Linked DNA regions of Mus musculus: regions 1 and 3 are each reported to be linked to region 2. The links are microRNA targets in miRTarBase. Many come from high-throughput screens and were not tested one by one. Region 2 holds a microRNA gene; each other region holds the end of a gene's coding sequence.

What was found. Region 2 holds the annotated microRNA mmu-miR-450b-3p (AUUGGGAACAUUUUGCAUGCAU, at 4,683-4,704, opposite strand). A microRNA usually pairs through its seed, bases 2 to 8, with sites in the 3' UTR of a target mRNA and lowers its output. Matches are read on the target gene's strand: a 7mer-m8 pairs with bases 2 to 8, a 7mer-A1 pairs with bases 2 to 7 and ends in A, and an 8mer does both.
Region 1: miRTarBase lists Cds2 as a target of mmu-miR-450b-3p. Seed matches in the 3' UTR shown: 7mer-m8 at 6,540-6,546.
Region 3: the mRNA of Mbp is a reported target of mmu-miR-450b-3p. The part of its 3' UTR that is shown has no 7-base or 8-base seed match.

Annotation. Positions count from the first base shown.
Region 1 is chr2:132,304,012-132,311,205 of GRCm38, forward strand. Cds2 (CDP-diacylglycerol synthase (phosphatidate cytidylyltransferase) 2) reads left to right here. Exons shown (of 13, transcript NM_138651.7): 11 at 348-467; 12 at 842-945; 13 at 1,142-7,194. The coding sequence ends at 1,274. Among named protein-coding and RNA genes, the nearest start is that of Gm46766, 44 kb to the left of the region's middle.
Region 2 is chrX:53,043,326-53,050,519 of GRCm38, forward strand. It overlaps Mir450b (microRNA 450b), which reads right to left and starts at 4,753; the gene lies at 4,672-4,753. Mir450-1 (microRNA 450-1) reads right to left here and starts at 4,919; the gene lies at 4,829-4,919. It overlaps Mir450-2 (microRNA 450-2), which reads right to left and starts at 5,042; the gene lies at 4,974-5,042. Mir542 (microRNA 542) reads right to left here and starts at 6,162; the gene lies at 6,078-6,162.
Region 3 is chr18:82,583,643-82,590,836 of GRCm38, reverse strand. It overlaps Mbp (myelin basic protein), which reads right to left. Exons shown (of 7, transcript NM_010777.3): 7 at 5,200-6,725. The coding sequence ends at 6,681. Among named protein-coding and RNA genes, the nearest start is that of Gm52337, 14 kb to the right of the region's middle.

The sequences.
Region 1 (7,194 bases), not on the chromosome of region 2:
TTGTCTGTCTGTCTGTCTTTCATCCTTCCTTACCCCCCTTTCTTTCTGTCTTTCTCCTTTTTTTTTTTTAATACTCAGTCTCTTTAGATGTATGAATGTTTTGGGTGAGTGTGTTCGTGTGTCCTTGAAATAGAGTTCTAGATGGTTGTGAGCCACCATGTGTGTTAGAAACAACCCAGGTTCTTTGCTGGAACAGCAGGTGGTCCTGACCACCAGACCAACTCTCCAGCCCTGCAGTCTTTTGGTTGATTGAAAAAAATGGAGACCTTGTTTTATGAAGCTCTGAATTAACTGTAAGAAGCCAGACATGCACACTTGCTGACTTTGGTTCCACTCCTTCTCCTCAGAAAACGGTGAGGATGTACCCTTTCCAGATCCACAGCATCGCCCTCTCCACCTTCGCCTCGCTCATCGGCCCTTTCGGAGGGTTCTTCGCCAGTGGATTCAAACGGGCCTTTAAAATCAAAGTAGGGGAACTCTGCCCCACCTGCCTCTCCCATTTCACTCCTGGTCGCCCATCTCTTCCCCGCCCTGCTCCATCAGCTTGCACCCCTCATACCAGGTCACGCCCCTGCACTTACTGTGTGCTTTTCTTTACCCATGTGCTGAATTTGGGGGACAGTAAATGAAAGTGCAAGTATCTGGTTTGCTAGTGCTTCTTTCAACCAGAGACCGCGTTGTAATTTGCAGTCCTGTCCTGTGATCACCTGGGCATTTGGTTGTATGCCTCTGTCCATCACCTTCTCTGCCCAGCAGGGTTTTGGTCATGGGTGGATCCATTAGTCTGGAGTTTGGTTGTTGGTGAGCCCAGGCCCATCCTTCCTTCCTTTTCCTCTAACAGGATTTTGCCAATACCATTCCCGGTCATGGAGGCATCATGGATCGCTTTGACTGCCAGTACCTGATGGCCACCTTTGTCAATGTGTACATCGCCAGCTTTATCAGGTGCGGAACTACTCCACCGGATCCAGATATTCCACCGGATCCAGCTGAGTGGGCTTTGAAAGCATGAGTGTTTACAAATCCTCTGAGGTCTCTCTCCCTCCACTAATAGTGAATCCAGGGCTCATAGCACCCCATGGGTAACTGGGCCAGCGAGGCAGCTGGCCCCTGCTCAGGGGTGCCTTATGTTCTGTTGTAGGGGTCCAAACCCAAGCAAACTGATCCAGCAGTTTCTGACGTTGCGGCCAGATCAGCAGCTTCACATCTTCAACACGCTCAAGTCTCACCTAACTGACAAGGGGATTCTGACATCTGCCTTGGAAGATGAGTAGAGTCCACCTGGGGCCCAGAGAGCTGGAGCAGGATGGAGTGGGGGCCAGTCGCCAAGGCCGCCCAGCTGCTGTGACTTAGATAATGAAAAGCTTCAACTCACCACCGTCATTTTTTTTTCTTTTTCCTTTTTGTGCGTGTGTGGTTTTTAATCTGTATATACTGTCTGTTTATAGTGTGGGCAGTGAGTAAGCTGTAGCTTTGAGTTGCAAAGAAGTCACAGGAAAGAACCATTTGGGTTTCTGAAGTACAAGTATTGAGCAACATGAAGGGCAGTGTTGCCCAGCTCAGGGTGTCTGCTTGGTGGCTCTAACCCCTGCCCATCCAGTTGTTTCTGGGCTGTGCGAGAGATCATACATTGATCTGTGTGTGATGAGTTGAGGGCTTTCCCACCTGCACGGGCCTTCACGGGCTCCACGCTTTTGCTGTCCTTGACACCTCTCGTTGGGGCTTCTGCAGGCATCTCTGTCTGAGAGCAGTGGGGGCTGCCCTCTGTAGAGCTGTGAGAGCAGTGGGGGCTGCCCTCTGTAGAGCTGTGAGAGCAGTGGGGGGCTGCCCTCTGTAGAGCTGTGAGAGCAGTGGGGGGCTGCCCTCTGTAGAGCTGTGAGAGCAGTGGGGGCTGCCCTCTGTAGAGCTGTGAGAGCAGTGGGGGCTGCCCTCTGTAGAGCTGTGAGAGCAGTGGGGGCTGCCCTCTGTAGAGCTGTGAGGGAGAGGCTTTCTGATCAGATGAACATCTGTCCAAGCCAAAATTCTGCAGAGGGCAGGTGAGCTTTGCTTATGTAGTTTGCTTTCACCATATAGACTGAGAGAAGATTTCAGACTTCTTTTTCTCAGAAAGCATGAAGAATTTATGAAGTATGGAAAAGAAGCCCTTACATATTCCAGATGTGTGCAGCAGGGGGCACTGTCCCAGCCCTCTCTGCCCCAGCCAGGCACAGTGGCCTCTAGAGGGTGGTCCTGTAGACCGCACCTTTTAGAGTCGAGGCCTCTGTGGTTGTGCCGCGGGTTTGCTGCTGTGCTGAGTCCTTCTGGGGGAGCCCTAAGAGGTGGGGAGCAGAGGACTTTTGCTCAGACACCCTTTGCCTGGAAGCCCACTTGTGTTGCTGCTGTGTTGTGTATATAGTATTCTCGAGATGAGCGTATGTGTGTCTGTTTAAAAGTCACCTTGTTTCCTACATGATTTTAGTCATACCCAAACGTCCTCAGAATCCCTACATCCTGCTTAGAACTGTGGCCGGCCTAATCTGTCAAGAGGCTTGGCTCTTCAAGACTCAGTGTCCACTTTATCAAATGTGACCGGTGTAGCTGTAGTTTGTACTTTCCTGGGGACCTTCTGCTGGGGTTTGTGTAAGCTGTGATTCTTTCCCTTCCTAATAGGTTGAGCTTGACATGGAAAGGAGCAGTTGGCAGGGAAGGAACTTATTCCCCAAGAGTGGTAACTAACCCACAGCCCTGCTCGGTGTGCCCACCGCTGAGAGGCTGCAGTGACTTCCCCAAGTACCGTGGTCTGTGCTAATTTGTTTTCAGATTAGTCTTCCTGTGGCCTCCAACACTCAGCCAGCCCTCAGAGTGTCCGCTGTGCGCACGGGGGCGGGGCGGGGCGGGCAGCTCCTTGTCTCTCAGCTTTGACTGACTTGTCCGCATTGGGGATTTTTGTTCTCAGCTCCCAGGCCGCACTGAACACAGTGTTGCTGCCTTCAGTTTGGTTCTGGCCATGAGGCCCCTAGTGGGAGCTTTGCCCTTAGGGCTGTCCTCTGACTTGCCCTCAAAGTTCACCAATTCGGCAACTCCATGGAGACGGTCGTGTCACTCTCAGCCCCTGTTGCTATTAAGTCATGTCATGGGCACCCGGAAAAGGAAATACACTGAGGTGTATTTTACAATTGCTCCTTAAGATTCTCAGTGGAGATTAGGAGCAACACTGCACTTCTGATAGAAAAATGGCCTTGGATCACTAAACTAGGTAGAGAAGGGCACACCACACCCCAGCGCCCCAGGAGCCAAAACTCACGCTCGGGCAGCAGCAGCTGAGGCTTGAGGAAGCTGGTGTCCTAAGACACTGAAACCCAGTGCTCATTGGAGCTGCCAGCCACAGGTTTCTATTCTGAGTTCTCCAGTCTTGTGAAAGAGGAGAATTTCCCAGTCAGGTAGCCAGGAGAACAGTGCCACCCTGCGATTGTGCCACCCTGTGATTGTATAGCGTGTTGTTTGTTCCAGTAAGCAGGCAGGCCCAGAGACTGCTTTCTCAGCACCGCACAGATCTCAGTGGGTCACATAACTTGCTTTACACTCATCTTGTTGTGTCAGAAATAAAGTGTTCGTGCTTTTCCTTGTCAGGAGTCCCGTGTTTGTCACTTGTTGTGTGGTTTTATGTTTCCCGCTGTGTGAGCATAAACACTGTGCAGTTTTCCTGCTTGCCAGCCTGTGTGCCATCTGTTCTCACAGCCTCTGAGATGTCTCAGGTGAGAGCCATGGGGTGGAACCATAAAGTCCCCATCTCAAAGTGTGCCTGTGGGACAGGGTTAGTAGCTACTCCCCGAGGCCCCAACCCGGGAAATACTGCAGTGTTCCTTCCTGCAGGCCTTGGAGCCCTGACCAGGCCAGTCCTGGGCACTGCTTAGATGGCTGTTAGCTTAGAACTGGTGAAGTAAAGATTTGGTCCCAGAAACCAGCCTGACATGAGAACAAGCCAGGGTGTCTTCCTGGTGAGTTCTACTCATGGTCGTTCTCAGGAAAACTGTGTTCCCTTTGTGTGTACGTTTCTCACCCCTTAACCACTTCAGTGTCAAAAAAGTTCCCATTGTGTCTTCTGAAAGTGAAGTCCCATAAGGAAGTTGGGAGAGAATGTGCAGGGTGCACACACGCATGTACAAACACACACACACACACACACACACACACACACACACACACACAGAGCCTATTTCACATTCTCAGACTTTTAGTTTCTGCTTTATAACCGCATTTAAAATGTATTCTTAATGTGCTGTAGTGTGTGTGAGCCGGTGTCCAGAGGTGTGAAATATACCATGTAATCTCACACAGGTGGACTGTGGAACCGTTTTTATGGATTTTGCCCCTGCTTGCTTTCATCCTGTAACCTAGCCTGTATTATACAAGAAAACTTGAGCAGGACATTTCAAGAGAATATGTTGGCCTAATTGTTGGGTTGGCTGGGACCTGCTCTGAAGGGATCCCTCAGTTCACCGATTGGCAAGCCAAGGTCAGTCCTTGCTGTTGATGGAGCTGGGAGGAGGAGGGACCTAAGGACTCAGGACAGAGCATCTCACGCGAAGTTCTGTGTGGCAGTCAAGTGTTCCTCGTGGAGTCAGCCTGAGGTAGATTTCCAGGAAAGCCTTTTCCTCGTTACCAGTGTGTGATGTCACAACTGAAACTTGTGTTAGTAACGTCTAAGGCCATGTTGCCTTTGTCTTTAGAGTAATTCCTGGCTGTGCCTACCACTCCTGCATACTGTGCTTATGTGCGTGCTGCGCTTTGATGGGGAGGAGGGCAGGTCCCTGTGCAGCCAGGGTTCTTGCTCCTTCCATGGCAGGATGAGAAGGAAGGCCTAAGAGGCTGGCCAGGGGCCTGGTGTAGACACAGTAGAAGACAGTCAACTATGGGCGCATTCTGTCTGGAGCTCCCAGAAGGAGCTGTGTGCTGCTGGAGAGGAGGCTAATTGTTGGTTCAGACTCCTCCGCTTGGGTAAAAGACTCCCCTTATCACTCTCCTCACAGTTGCTCTGCATCTTTAAAGAGTATTAGCTTCTGCTTCCGGACTCAGTCTTTGTTGAGTGGGCCACTTCCAGGGGTGTGCCCGGGGTTAGGCAAGTGGCAGACGAGGGTTCTTATTTGAGGCTTTGCTAGGCTCATCTGCTGTGTCCTGGGTAGTCCACTCATATTCTTGCAGGGTGAGTCCATGCTCAGGAGAATGCGGTCCACCTTTCTATGTACTCTAGCTTCCCTCTCTTCAGGTTGATATAGCGACATTACCTGGGCTCTGTGCTGTCCTGTGGGTGGAGGCCATTATCACTGGGCTGCTGCTTTCCTGGGCAAGCCACTCTCTATTTTTCTGCAAAGGTCAAAAGACCCTGGTGTTGGGGGCCCTTTAGAGGGTGTGCTTTGGACGCTGACCTCTTAGGGCTTTAGGACAGAGGGACGATGTTGAGTCTAGAAGGGCACAATATGCCAGAGTTTTATGGCCAGTGATCCTCAAATCCATTGGCTGTTTGAAGACCCTGTCCTCACTTCTCCTTTTTTCAGGTGACTCTCTGCTTGGCTCTTTATCTTACTCTTCAGCTAATGAAGTAGCAACAGTGTGTTACTAATGATTGCAATCATACAGTGCTTAATATGTGCCAGACACAGTGCCAAGGGCTTGCATGCATTATCTCCTTTAATCCACAAGCAGCTCTGGCGAGGTGGTATTAGCCCATCTTACAGATGGGAAAACTGAAGTTCTGTGCTAGAGATTGAGAACAATGTAAAGACTTGAGGCTTAGGTAGTGCTCTATCTGGTCAGGCTATAGGCTGCGGGCAGCCTTCACTTCCAACCAGCCGCTGTGAGGATTTAGTGAGCTAACGCATGTAAGCATTTAGCAAGGTGCCTGGCACATAGTAAGCACTCAATAAATGGTAGTTTTTTTGTTCTTTTAAACTGAGCTCAGCGAGTTTGGCCCACACTGGTGGGCTGCTGGGTATTCAGCCACCACACTCTTCACTGCTTGGACCTAGTTGGTGTTTGTGTTCTGTAAAGTGAGCACGTTGTCCTCCCAAGAGAAGCACTTCAGTGGTGCAGTGGTAAGAGCCCACAGCATTGAGGCCAGCCTGACTGAAGGATGATGTGAGGCTGTTTGTCACTTCTGTTCTTTTCCCCGTGGTTGAGACTGCCCACAGGAAAAGGGCTGGCTGCTCTGACATGGTGGGGCGTCTCCTGGGGCCTGGCTCGCTCTGGACCCTGCTCTCCCCAGCCACGTTCTGTAGTCTGTTGTACATCTCAGGAACCCTCGGTTCCTCCACGGATGGACGACTGCAGAATAGAGCAGAATAGAGAAAGTAAGCCTGAAGCTGAGTGCCTCAGCCACAAACCTAAAGGAGCTGCCTGTGTCTGACAGCACAGCCATTCCATCTCTTCCGTCCGTCTGTCTGTCTGGGTTGTTTTGTTTTGTTGTTGTTTTGAGACAGGGTTTCTTTGTGTAGCCCTGACTGTTCTGGAACTTGCTCTGAAGACCAGGCTGACCTCGAACTCAGAGATCTGCCTGCCTCTGCTTCCCAAGTGCTGGGATTAAAGGCATGCGCCACCTTCACCTGGGTTTTCTTTCTTAAAGGAACAGGTTAGAGCAAGTGACCGTTGAGGACAGGTGATGTGAATGTTTGTTCTAGATTTAATTCAGTTTTCTGAATGGACACAGGGAGTTGGGAGTATGTGTGTGTGTGTGTGTGTGTGTGTGTGTGTGTGTGCGCGCGCGCGCGCGCGTGTGTGTGTGCTTCACCTTGATTGAGTGGCATTGGCTCACATGACCCAGGAGATTCCCAGACTCTGTTAGTAGTGTCTAGGAACTTGTGTTCCAGCTGAGGAGTGTCCCAGGTGTTAACGAGACTGAGGCCTATTGCTGGAGTTCAGATACTGCAGCTCCTCTTGTTTTTCTGCACTGTGTTTGCCAGCCCTGCCCCCATCTGATGGACCAGGCAGTCCTTTATCTGGAGGGAAAAGTCTGATGCCAGCAGAGGTCCTGGGGCGCTGCTCTCCCAGGTCCTGGTCAGACTCAGCTCCATAGCTCTTGGAGGCTTTCCCTGGATTCCCTGAGTACAGTGTTAAAAGGCCTAACCACACAGCCACCTGCCCTAAGTGACATTGTGTTTTTAGGTGTCACCGTCTTAGCCCTTTGTTTTCCTTACTAGAGTATCTTTCCCGCACCCCTAG
Region 2 (7,194 bases):
TTCACACAATGTAAACAAAATGCAACCGAAAAAACAAACAAACAAGGGGTTGGACAGATGGCTCAATAGCACTTATTGCTCTTACAGAGGACCTGGGTTTTGTTCCCACCTCCAACATGGTGGCTCACAGACATCAGAAACTCCAGTTCAAGGGGATTCAATGCCTTCTTCTGACCTCAGCAGGAGCCAGGCATATACATGGTGCACATATATATATGTGGGTAAAAACAGCTATAAAATAAAATAAAATAATTTTTTTTTAAAAATTGAAAAGTCCCCAAACCCCAAAACAAAACTCTTTGGCTTTTCGATTTTTACTGACAATGAACAGGGATGATTTCAAATCTGGACATTTAGAAGGAATGTGTTATTATTCTTCTGGGTAATCTTCACCCAGAGATTGTTTTTAGTCGTCCTTATAGTAGCAAATCTTTTATTACTTGACAGGCACCACTGTTCCATCTAGCCCTTATGCAGCAGGAAAGCAGGTCTGGAAAGAACACCTTGGTTCCTTTCCATATTTGGACCCAGAATGGAGCCTACCACAGAAAGTGCTTGGTCGGCTACACTACAGCTATGTATCCCTCCACTTTCCTGACCTCAGAAATTAAGCAAGACCAACCTGCTTAGTCCTTGGACAGGAGAGCATGGCAGTTATGTTTGTTGAATGAACGAATAAAGTAGTTTTGTTTTTGGGTGTTTGTTTGTTTGTTTGTTTGTTTTTCGAGACAGGGTTTCTCTGTATAGCCTTGGCTGTCCTGGAATTCACTTTGTAGACCAGGCTGGCCTTGAACTCAGAAATCTGCCTGCCTCTGCCTCCCAAGTGCTGGGATTAAAGGTGTGGGCCACCACTGCCGGGCTATAAAGTAGTTTTTAAAAGAAGTCTAAACCACATTGTAGCAACTGACAGAGACAGTGGAGTTGACCACAGGGCAGCTTCTGTCTGGGGACTCAGTTTCTCCCTTTCCCCCATTTTCCCCTCTCTCGTTCCTAACCCTCTCTCTGCTTTCTCTCCCTCCCTCTCGAATCTCTACTCTCTATCATTGCCACTGTCCTCTGTGCCATTTGTCTTTCTGTCCTATGGTGGTGAGCAAGATAGACCACTTTGTCAAATCTTCATTCTATAAAAGAGGAAACTGAGGCAAGAATTCAGAGATGAGAAGGAGGACTCTGCTAGATACAATTCTACAGGTAAAAACTGCCCCCCAAAAGAGAGATTCTCTGATTCAGTATTTAATGGACAGATACAAATCTAAAGACAGGCATGGTGATTTGGGCCTTTAATCCCAGCACTGGGAGGCAGAGGCAGGGGGATCTCTGAATTCGAGGCCAGCCTGGTTTAAATAGCAAGTTCAAGACTAGCCAGAGCTACATTGTGAGATCCTGTTTCAAAATCCTCAAAACAGCACAACTACCACCACCACCACCACTACCACCACCTATTCGTAGCAAGTACACTGACTAGCTAGGCTACGGTCACATGAACTGATTCTAGGCCAATCAATAGAAAAAGGAAAAGGTGTTAGGATTGTCTGCTGGAGTCCTGTGGGAGAGGCTTGGCTATTTACTATGACTGACAGTTTTTCCAGAGTCTCATGATTATGATCGGGGAGGGATATATTATGAAGGCAAAGAGCCCCTTCCCAAACTGTTACAAGACCTGGAGGCTAGAGCCTTGGCAGCAGTAACAGATGGAAAGCCAAATGTCTGGAGTTGGGGGCCTGAATTCTCCCCTCGGGATGAAGCTGGCCTGGTAGGAGCTGGAGAAGCCCAAGACAAATACAAAAGTTGGAAATGGTCTTTGAGAGCCTAGCTGCTTTTTTTTTCTTTTTAATCTGCCCTTCTTTGAATAGAGAAACTGCTGTAAATTTATCTCTCACTACTGAATCAAGTCTGCATTCTGGGAATTCGTGCCATCGTTTTCTGGGGGCATTTTGCACTCCCCACTCCCCAAGATACAGTTCCACCCTCAGGGTATAGCCCAGCCCGAATTTGGAAACTGGATTTGTCCTTGACAGGTTCCTCCAGACGCTCCTGACTGCTCTGTGACAGAAGCCATCTGTTCCTGCCTCTGCCTGTGCCCCTGTCATCTTCCTCTGCTTGAAATTCACTCCCTCATTTTCTCTGGCCCTTCCAGCCCCACCCACCTTTGAAGGTGTTCCTCAAGTCCCACATGCCTCCCACTGTCTTCTAAAGTCACCCCTGTCTGTCCTTTAGGTCCAGTGTATTATAGTAGAAAAAGGCCTGTAGATCAAGACTCAAGTTGGCCACCAGTTCTTTGCAAGACTTAGCTGGGAGTTATTTCCTCTCCCTGCAACTGCATTTCCTCTTCTGAGCACCGAGGGAGGACTGGTTTGTTAGAAAGGGAAACCCTCCCCCCTTCTGCACCACCCCCACTCCGGGGGCCGCTTGGCATCCTCCCAACTAAGAGGCATGCTGTCTCCATCCGCCACATTCTAGGATATTCTGATTCGGAAATGCAAGTCTCCACTTTAGTCCACTGCTAAATGAGAGAGCCTGGAGCTCAGTGATTAAATTGATGGAGTTATTACTTTCTCCGCCCCAGAGGTGAGACTTCCCATTTCAGGAAGGGTCCCACCTTGGCTCTTCTCCCTTTTCATAATCCTTGCCTAGCAAGGACCAGAGTGAGGTTTATGTGGAAGGAGGTCGCTTTCATCATTCAGGGTAGAAGGAAGTTTTCTGTGAGATTGGGCCTGGCATGGAAGAAGGTCACAAGACCCTGCCTATTTCTGCTTTCAACCATACAGAGCAAGGGATTTGTGCATCCAAAGTCTCTCTGGCTCCGGTTCATCTTAACTCCCACTTCTCTCCTATCCTCCCTTCCCAGGAAAAATGTTTCTAACTAAATGTGGCAGAGTCAAATGTTTATGAAAAACCCATTGCCAAGGATATGTCTGGCTGTGTGGTTGCTCTAAAGCAGACGGGTGGGGCGTGAGGCTCTGTGGGATGAATGATCTCCCAGTACCTTTGTGAATGACTGCATCTCTCCCACTGCACTAGGTCTGCTTGAGGGAATATACGGATTTTGCTACAGTGCTTTAGCTCTTGGGGGAGAGTTTTCCTGGAGTGTTTATAAATGGCTCAGAGTGGACTCTAGCTCCTCTTCTAATGTGTCAAATCTGAGAAACATTAATAAAGCCTTTAGGAGGGGATAGCAAGATGGCTCAGTGGGTAATGGAGCTTGCCCCTTAGCTAAGGGACCTGAGTTCAATCCCAGGAATCTACATGGTGGAAGGAGGAAACTGACTCCCACACGTCCTGTGATGTCCACAAGTGAGTCAGAGTGCACATAGCCCTCCACCTCACATACCCACAAATGCCAATAAAATGGCACAACAGTAACAAAATCCCAAGAAACCAAAAATACTCCTGAGAGGAACCAGTCAAACCATGGTTGTACTAAGTCCCCAGATATAGTTCCATCTCTCTTACTAAGAAAGAAGAGGGAAAGCTGAACTGGGAGGTCTCCTGTACTCAAAGGAACATCCAGGGATTTAGATGGATGGACAGTAGATGGGGAACTACAGCCAGTTGCTGGCATCTGTCATTCATGAGTGGGCCTTCTGGAAGGTCTTTCCCTGGCTCAGGCATTTCCCAAACTAGCCAGTGTGTCTTGAGGCCAGGAGCAATCATCCAAGTGCCACCTTCCTGAATTGCTCCTGGGAGAAAATAAGCCCCTTTCAACTCTCTCTGTGTTTAGAGTGTTTGATTAGATAAGAGCCATCGGTCTGCTTAGCAGTCACTGGTATTACTCTGTGTGGACCCAGAGGTTTGAGAGAGGCTCTCACTACAGAGTGAGAGCAAACACCCTCCCCCAGCTCCTGGAGCTCTGATTACAAGGCTTGAGCTACCACACCTGGCCGTTACAGTTGTGTTTTTATTTTATTTCTTTCTTTTAGTGTGTGATGTTTGTGTGTGTAAATGTGTTTTTATACTTGGACATGTGTGTGAATGCATAGAGGCCAGGAGTCAACCTCAGATATCATTCCGCAAGAGATCCCCACCTTGGTTTTTTGAGACAAGGTCTCTCACTGGGACCTGGGGCTCCCCAATTCAGTTAGATTCCTAAGGATCTACCTCCCGAAAACTCAAATATAATTATCAGTTTTTAAAAAGTGTATTTGAGTCTTTTGCGCACATGTACGTATGAAGGGCAGACCTTATGGTGGTCCTGTAGGCTTTTCCTAGACAAGTTGGAAAGTGTGGTCTAGGCCAACCACTGCCTGCATAGAAATCTTTCTCTATACATGGGTCAGGGTTTCACGATTAAAAAAAAAAAAAAATCAGTGTAAAGCCAAGTATGTGGCACTTGCCATTAATTCCAGCACTCTGGGAGGCAGAGGCAGGCAACTAGTTCTCTATGAGAGTGAGGCCAGCCTCACTATATACTGAGGCTATAGCCACAGTTAATTACATTAGGTGACCTTGTTTCAAGTCCCACCCCACCCTCCAAAATCAATGTAGACTCTAGTACTAAAATAAAATAAGTTTATTCTTTTGCTATAAAAGAAAAACATTTTGTTTACACAATAATTGGTAAAAAAAAACAATAAAAATATAAAGACAACAATAAACATCACCTGTAATACCAGAGACATAAGTTCTGTTCAAGTTTTGTCATGTTTCTTCCTAGTCTTCCCCCCATATATTGATACAAAATTATGCATGCAAAATGTTCCCAATACGCTTATGTTATGTATTCAGGAACATACTGCAAAAATAATTCTGTATCTGATTCCTATTATAAAAACAAACCATAAACAACTATGGTTAGACTTGCAGCTTCTTTCTTCCAACCTTTTGCCTGTGTATTGACACAAAGCTATTTATGCAAAATGTTCCCAATATAATTATAGCACATATTAGGAACACATCGCAAAAACAGCTCAGTATCTCTCTTTGGTCACTGGTGGTGCTACAGCTTGGAGGTGACTGTCCATATGATGGATGCAGAACCATGAATGCAAAGCATCCCCAATATACTCATAGTACATATTAGGAACACATCGCAAAAATAGTTCAGCATCTTGGTTTGCCTTTCTCCTTCCTCTATCATTCAACCACAGCATCAGTCCCCAGCATATTTGTTCAATAACATTAAAGCACAACTCAGGATAACTATAATATTTTGATCTGTTCTCTTAGCCTTATATCTGTATATTGATCCCATGTATGTAAAATTAAAACGGAGAAGAAAATATTTTGCATGTTTATCATTAAACGCTTTTTATTAGTGTTTGTGGCACATCTTTATGTCACAAAAATTATTTTCAGAAATATCAATCTTAATGATAGCATCCTATCACATTGTCTTAGAAGAGCATATTTTATTTATGCAACCCTTTACTATTAATAAGTCATTTTATCCTCAAAATGACTGAAGTGAAGGGAGGTGGTAACCCCAGTGACATAGATGGTGAGGCAAATGAGCCACAGATGCAGATTCCTCCTGGCAGGCCTAGAGAGTGATTTAAAGCCAGCATGAGCAAGTTAGTGAGGCCTAGTCTCAAAAAAAAAAAAAAAAAAAAGAATTGCAAGCAGGTATGATGGCATACACTTATAATGCCAGCCCTTGGGAGGGGGAATTAGGAGGGGAAGGAATTCAACATGAGCCTCTGCTACACAAGTTTGAGTCTGGGTAACATAAGATCTTGCCTCAAAAATAAATAAATAAATAAATAAATAGTAATAAACATCCTGATGTTTTTTCATTTTCCGTGACTTTCCGTGGCTTGTATATTTATCTTCATGGCTATTTATATGACTCCACATTTTTAAGGTAACCTGTTTTTCTAAAGCTTACAGCTAATGTTTTTCTTGTTTGAGGAAAAACATAGTTTTAATATTTTAGCCTATATATAAAACCATATGTCCTGTCTAGGCTTCAGTGGACTGAATAGAAATGCAAATTAATAAAACCCTTCTCATTCTATAAAAACACAACCCATACCCTCCCCCACTCCATGGCAACCCCTTTCCTCCTTGCCTAGGGCTCAGTCCTCTCCTGACCTCTCATCTCTGTAATACTCACCCCACCAATTCTTAGGAAGAGGAGTGGCTCCCAGACCTTTCAGTTATCAATCTGTCACAAGGGCACAGTGGTATCTCGTGACATGATGATCCCCGAGACGTCTGAGATCCCTGCATGTGTAACCTCAAATTTCTGGATCTCCCAGTACCCTTAAAGACCTTTTAGCGAGTAGCATTTCACAATGGGACACAAATCAAAGCACAACAAAACAAAGAAACAGCAAAACTGTGAAGATGGGGAAAAAAAAACAAAACAAATAAGCAGCTAACCAACCTACTACAAATTCTGTTTTTAAAAAGTCTCTTTGTTTTGCAGTTTCTTTCCAGTTTCTACTCTACTTTCAGCCACCAGAGTTAGTGTAATTCTGTGGCCTTGATTTTTAAAAGCTTGTTATCTTAAGAATGTTTCTAAGTTTCTAGGTAGTTTTTATGATTATTCACAATGACTAAAAACGTTCTTTTGAGGATGCCACTAAATTAATCTCTATGGTTAGTTCATATTTGCTCCCTTAATTTACTTGAGTCTATAGAAAGGATCAAAGCTTTAAAGTGAATTCACTTTACAATTTTTAAGCTTGTACACATTGAATCATGCATGGGTAGGTGACTTACAGTCATTACTTAATCATGAAGTCAATCTTGAGCCTCAGTTAGGAAGTGTCCAGCAGTTAGACTCTCACTCGTCCTTCTTAGGACTAGACAGTTTCAACTAGACCTTTTCTAACCAAACACACTAGTTCAGCTCCATTTTCTGTCCTAATCACTATGGTGTAAGCTTCTGATGGCCAGGCAGGAATGTTACCTGGCACAGCATGAAGTCTGCATGATGCAGTTTCCCAGGTTTCATCTTCAGAATCCTCAGGTCTCTCGAAACTTTGTCTGCCTTACTTATCTCTCAAAGTTGTAAACAACAAATCTATGAAAGCAGTTGGGGCCGTAAGTGAACAGAGGAAATGAAGGCAAGTGCTGAGATGAGGATTGTAAAGATTTGGTTTCTAGGGCACAAACATTCTGCCTTCACTCTGCAGAGTGGAGGTGGGGGAGGGGTAGCAAAAGACCCGAAGGAAGGAGTCAGGCTGCAAAGCAAGCAGTATTCCCAGCCCCCAACAATGCCCCCGACTTGGAGCTGGGGAGGGGAGCGGG
Region 3 (7,194 bases), not on the chromosome of region 2:
AGAGTAGGGTCCCTCCCCTGCCTCATAGATACCTGGTGAGCATGCATAGCCTTCTGACCTTGGCATCTGATTTACACTGTAAACACTGGTGTAAACCGTATGGCCAACAAGCAATGTATCCTTGGCTGCACATTCTGATTGGTCGTTTTTTTTTTGTTTTTTTTTTTTTTTTTTGTTGGGGAGGAAAGGATTTATTCAGCTTACACTTTTGACATTGCTGTTTATCACTAAAGGAAGTCAGGACTGGAACTCAGGCAAGTCAGGAAGCAGGAGCTGATGCAGAGGCCATGGAGGGATGTTCTTTACTGGCTTGCTTCCCCTGGCTTGTTCAGCCTGCTCTCGGAACCAAGACTACCAGCCCAGAGATGGCATCACCCACATGGGGACCTCCTCCCATGATCACTAATTGAGAAATCCTTACAGCTGGATCTCCTGGAAGCATTTCCCCAACTGAAGCTCCTTTCTGTGATAACTCCAGCCTATGTCAAGTTGACACAAAACTAGCCAGTGCAAATACCAAAGTCCACTATGCTCTCAACATTCTACCCAGCATTTGAATAATACAAAGACCATCTTTATATGGTGCACAAAAGATCACCCTAACGCTTGTGCATGCAAACTAACTAAACAAGTTATAACTTAGCTATACCCTCAGCCCCCAAAATAAATGCTTTATATTGGGATAATTTATTTCAGTTGCCTTTGCACTTAGGAATCTATATATGCATGCATAGTGGTATTCTCACATGATTGACCTTAAAGATAGTTCTCTTAAGCATGCATCTGATTGGTCGTTCTTACCTAATATCACTTCATTTGCCATTCCAGTGACTGTTCAAGGTCTGCAATAGGCAAATCCCAATATCAAGATGAGGCATTGGTACTGTAGAGTCTTAGCTCCCAGTGTGGGGTTGAGGAGAATAAGAAATACTTGGGTAAAAATAAACATGCATCATTATGGCTGAATGCTGCTGTTCCCATTCATGCCTTGAGTGTTAACTACCACTGTTACTATGTTTATGAGACAGATGGGGCCAGCATTGGGCACTGGGCAGGAGTTAAGAGCCACTAAAATAATTATTGTCGATGGAGTTCTTAAATTTGTATATTAAATGTAGTGTGTGTGTGTGTGTGTGTGTGTGTGTGTGTGTGTGTGTAAACACACTGTGGAAGTCAGAGTGCAAATTTCAGTCTGTTTTACTCTTCCACTATGGAGTCCCAGGGGTCTAACCAGATTGTCCTGCAGGACAGCAATCACTTTTACCTGCTGTGTCATGTCCCCAGCTCAGTAATGAGTTGTTGTAAGCATTTCTTCTGACATTCATTTCCCTACAGTGAAGACACTGGGGGATGGGCTAACTTGAGTACCTAATTAGTTCCTGTCCCAGCTACTTTGACTAATGGGACTGCCAGTTAAATGACCAATAGCACTATCTTTATGGCTAGCACCAGTCAGAAGACATCTAACGGCCCCAGTTCCTGTAGGTATATCCTCAGCTGGGCTGTTTGAAGCAGTTCACACCAGACTTTTGGCTCTGAGGAGCCTAGATGAACCTCCCTTGACACAGCAATCAGCCCCAGCTATGCCGGAAGAGGAACACTGTCCCTGGTGGTTGAGCTGGGGAATAGCTTCATTGGTACTGAGTGAGTGGTCAAACCTCCACCTTTGTGATTGGAGCTAAGCAGAGCCCTAATCCTGGCTGGGTGTTGAGGGCTGGGGAATCTTGCCTTCTTACACTCACACAAGTCCAATACGTGTTTCTCTCATATTCTTGGATGTGTGGTCTTCCACTGGGGCGTGGTCAACTCACCAGAAGCAGCACTCTAAAAGAAAACTGGCTCTCCCTTTCTTAGCAGCTACCACTAGGCTAGGGCTGGGAAATCTCACACCACCTTTCTCCATGCCCGGGTTTTGTCTGGCTTGTGTGTGTGCAGGCTTGTGTTTCTATCCATAGATGAGTGCCTCTCTCAACCCATCAGAGAAGCTTCTCTTTGCAGCTGATGGCATCTTGGTGTGGTTTCTCTTCCTGTGATAAAACACCATGTGTAGGCACATATTTCTCACAATCTACTTTTATAAAGGTTCAACTTCCTCTCTAGCCCACCACCCACCAGAAGTGTTGGAGTCCACCAAAAGACCCTCACTCACAAAAATCACAGAGACCGACATTGTTGCAAACCACAGAGTTTTTTTTTTTTTTTTAATTATTCCAATGCATTGGGGCCTCCCCCCCTCAGCACACAGGCAAGAGGAGAGACCCTGAACAAAAAAAAAAAAAAAAAAACCCACACTTTTTATACCTTGTAGGGGGCAGATTTAGGCAACAGGGCTAGCTGGCTTATTCTAATTGTTGTAGCAAGTGTAACCCTTTCAGGCATTGGTTGGTTTGCATGGGGTGACTACCTTTGGCCTAGTCCCTCACTCTGCCTGCCCTTAGGGTTTTTCTCAGCATTGTTTAGTCAGCCAGCTTCCTTATCTGGCTCTGCACTTGGCCTGCTAGTACAGTTTGGAAAGTCCCTTCAGAGGGGGAAGGGGCTGGGTGGTCTTGAATTTATTTTGGATTCTACAGAAGTAGTGGAGAAGAAATGTTATTGTGATACAAGGGAAGTGGACATGTTTAGAAATAGTTCTTTGGGGGCGATTTCAGTCTTCATTATTCAGCGGCTGCATCCAGTCTACTTGGCAGACACCACACACAAATTAGCAAGGGCAGTTCAATACAGAAGAAACCCTCAAGGATGGCCAACCTGCCCAAGTCTGTAGAAGTAGCAAGAAGCTTCAGGAACCCCACAAGAGGTTCTCTGGCGAGTTTCTGTCTATGAAGGCACCACAAGCTTGGCTCAGCAATGCAATGTAAGGTGAGCCGATACATGTGTGTCATTAGGGAAGACTAGTGAGGTGGGCAAGTCAAACCAACACTCGAGCTCCTACTGTTTGTGGGGTCAGGGTTACATTCCTTCTAAACACCACACAGCCTTTCACGTGTCTGCTTTAGCAAAACATCCTTTCACCTGTGTGCCCCAGCAAAACATCATCTGACACGACTGACTTTCCAAAGAGACCAGAAGTTTCCTCTTCAACCATGACCAAAAACAGCTTGGGGAGGAAAGGGCCAATTTCACCTTATAACTTACAAGTCCATCATTGAGGGAAGCTAGGAACTTGTAGGCAGGAGCTGGAGCAGAAGCCATGGAGGGGTACTGCTTACTGCCTCGCTCCCTGTGGCCTGCTCAGCCTGATTTCTATCCAGGATCACTTGCCCACAGTAGGGAGAACCCTACAATATCAATTATTAGTAAAACGCCCTACAGGCTTGCCTACAGGTCAATACTATGGAGGTATTTTCTAAATTAAGATTCTCTTTCTCAAGATATGGTTAGGGTTGTGTCAAGTTGACAAAACCCAACCAGCACAGGGTGATGAGTGCAGAGACCCACAACTGGCCATGGTGCAGAGACTAAAAGATGGCAGAATGCTCTGCCCTAAATGGGAGATGGATGTTATATCCCTTTCTCCCGCAGCTCATGGTTCATTGCAGGAGAGATGGCGAGATGGCGGAAAGACTTTAAAATAGAGCCAGGGGTGGTGAGTGACCACGGTGGAGCAGCTGCTCCTATGAGGTTATGGAGATTGCGGCAGCAATGCATCTTTAAACAGTGCACACATCTTTGTATTTCCAGATCCTTTATTTGGGAGGATTTTGTTGGCTAAAAAGGACAAGGAGATGATTGGACATCAGCCTTTTGTTATCTTTGTAAGATTGTAAAAATATTTTTATGTGTGTGAACACCTGCCTGCATGTATGTGTGTGTGTGCTTATCTAGTGTATGCCTGTGTGTATGTGCATCTCGTGTGTGCCTGCATGTATGCATGTGTATCTTGTGTGTGCCTGCATGTATGTATGTGCATCTTGTGTGTACTTGCATGTATGCATGTACATCTTGTGTGTGCCTGCATGTATGCATGTGCATCTTGTGTGTACCTGCATGTATGCATGTGCATCTTGTGTGTGCCTGCATGTATGAATGTGCATCTTGTGTGCACCTGCATGTATGAATGTGCATCTTGTGTGTACCTGCATGTATGCATGTGCATCTTGTGTGTGCCTGATGCCTGCGGAGACCAGAAGAAGGTACCAAATTTCCTGGAACTTTAGTCACACACTATTGTGAACTCCACGTGATTGCTGGAAACCAAACCCAGATGCTCTGCAAGAGCAGTCAATACTCTTAATGGCTGACCAACTCTCTAGCCCCTGGTGGGTTTTTGTTGTCTGTTTTGTTGTTGTTGTGGTGGTGGTGGTAGTGGATGTGTGTGTGTGTGTGTGTGTGTGTGTGTGTGTGGAGACAGGGTTTTTCTGTGTCCTGGCTGTACTGGAACTCACTTTGTAGATCAGGCTGGTTTCAAGCTCACAGAGCTCAACCTCTGCTTCCCCAGCGCTAGGATTAAAGGCATGCATTTTTGAGACAGCGTCTCTTGCTTAGAACTCATTACATAACTTTGGCTGGCCTCAAATTCATGCAATCTCCCGCCCCCACCTTGTGAGTGCTAGAATTATAGACGTGAGCCCCTGAGCCCTGGAGGTAAGGTTTCCCGTCAGTCAGTGGACCCCAGGAACCTGCACTGGTTCCCTGTGCTGGAACAACATGCCCCAGAGAAAGACTGTAATGTTGGCCCATGGCAAGCCTTCCTCCCACAGCTCACAAATCTGATGGTTTTCCATAGCCTGCCTTGGAAACTCAGAAAGGGGCCAGGAGCGCTCTCAAAACCAACAGGAGAAGAGATTTCGGGTAATCCTTTAGAAAAAGAAGTCTCATAACCAAAATCAATGGCAAGAGAAACAAAGGACAAATGGGGGGAGGGGGGAAGAATGCTTCACTTAATCCCCGTCCGCCGTGGATAAAGCGCGTGACCCGCTTTTCTGCAGTGTTTCCTAGGACAATGGCTTTGAAAAGTGTCCTCAGAGTGACTGAAAATCCTTTTCCTTGTGTGTTGTGGGTCACTGTCCCACATCACCTCTACTCCATCTTCTTGATTTATCAATGCATGGCCTCCTCAACGTGCCCCTTGAGGTATTCTCCCAAGGGCACCGTGAAGCAACCCGGTGCCCCTGAGGAAGAGCCCTCCACCCTGCGACGAGGCTGTGCTTCACTCGGGCTCACGCCTACAGGCTGCCGTGCAAAATGAGACACCTGGGCAAAGATCATTGCAAGTTTATTATTTTATTTCAATATTCAAGAATAGTAGGTGCTTCTGTCCAGCCATACTGCAGCTGCGCTGTCTGGACGAAGCCATGGGCAAGGTCGTTCAGTCACACTGGAGGGCAAACACTCCCGTGGGACAATCTGGAGGGTTTTTTTCTGGAAATTTCTTCCCTGCTTTTTCTCTTACCCTCACGTTATTGTGGCGATACATTAATCGGTGTTATCTTAAACCCACACTCTACTCAGAGTTAGAACAGATTAACAAGATGCAGTATTGGGCTACATCAACCATCACCTGCCTTCCTAGGGGTGACGGTGCCAGTGTGGGGCTCTTTGGAAGGTCTACAGAAGGCATGCTAAATCAAAAGACATAGTACGTTAGAGGGATAAGGAGGTGTCGATGGACATTATTAGACTGGGGTTCTCAGCTCCTCATCCCTGGAGCGTCGCCCAGGCCAGCCCTGCATCCAGGGCAGCGACTCGATTCAGTGACAGGAACCCCCCTAAAGCTAAGAATGAGTCCTTTCTAGGAGGCAGGGAATGGTTATTTTTCCACCGAGGTTAGTGTGTACCAATGGGCACTGCCATGGCGAGCTGCCGCTGACCACCCCACCATGAGAAGTGGCCAGAGGGACAGCACGAGGCCACCAGAGAACTCCTGCAGTCCCACTTCCAGATGCGCCATGTCCTTGGACTCTCCCTGGGCTCTGAGAGGAAACAGGGTTCTTAAAAGCACCAGCTCTGGGGAGCCACTGAGGAGAGATGGTGACATTTGGCGGCCACACATATCTCCAGCGTGTTCTCCTAAGTCCCCGTTTCCTGTTGGGGCCATTGCCCAGCCCACTCGCCCCTTTCCTTCCCTCTGCCACGCTCGAAATCAGCTGGTGGGGTGCAGGGGATAGCTGGCCTGGAAGTGTCCCCAGGGCCACCCCACTCTGGACTCTCACAGCTGCCCAGCCTGTGCTCACATACCACAAGCCCCCGTTGTATAAGCCACTCCAAGACTGTCTGATCCTGTTAGGAAAAACAAAGCTCTTTAGGGGGAAGAAAACAAAGGAAGCCTGGACCACACAGTCCCCTGCGCCATGCTCTCTGGCTCCTTGGCGGTGTGCCTGTCTATCCGCAGTGCCCACGGAAGCTGGAGGGGTGTGCCTCACCGTGAAAAGTCTGAGGATGGAGTAGGGGTGAACTTGGAAGGGTGTCCGTGCACCTGAACCTCCGGAGTCGAACAAGGTGCACGGGGAACAAGTCAGGGCTGAGAAGACCCCGAGAAAACTCAATCTTCAAACGAAAAGGGACGAATAGTTTTAACCAGTCGGGGTGCCGTGGGCCTGGCCCCACCGCGATCACGGCTCCACGGGATTAAGAGAGGGTCTGCTCTAACTAGCTAATCGGTGCAAGTAGAATTAAAAGTTTAAGGCAGTTATATTAAGAAGCCGAGGGCAGGATTCGGGAAGGCTGAGCGGGGAGGGCTCTCAGCGTCTCGCCATGGGAGATCCAGAGCGGCTGTCTCTTCCTCCCTGGGAAAAAGAAAAGACAGGAGTTAGGCACAAGCCTGTGTAGCTGCGGGGCGACACTTCCCCTCCACAGTGCTGGTTCTGTGGTTGTCCAATCACAAGCTGTTCCGGCGGGAAGTGATATCCCAGGACACAGAATATTCCCTCGATTTGTCACACCGCCTGCAGAAAGCCCTAAGTGGAGTTTGTAGCTTAAGGCAAAGCCCCTTGACCGTGAGCCACAGGGCGTGGCTAGGTCTAAGGCGCCCACAGCATTGCCTTTGCAGGGAGAATGCTTTAGCTTCGTTATCTTGCTCAAAACAAGCTGCTTATTTTCTCTGCTAGAAGACTGAAGGCAGTTTGGGGCTGGGATCACTGTCCACAGTGTTTTCTAGAAAGCGGCTTCAGTGCTGATGAGCATAAGAGCTGCCCCCCACTTGGGGAAAGCGCCCTGCCAGTGCTACCAAAAGACACTAGCTGCACACGGGCGCGT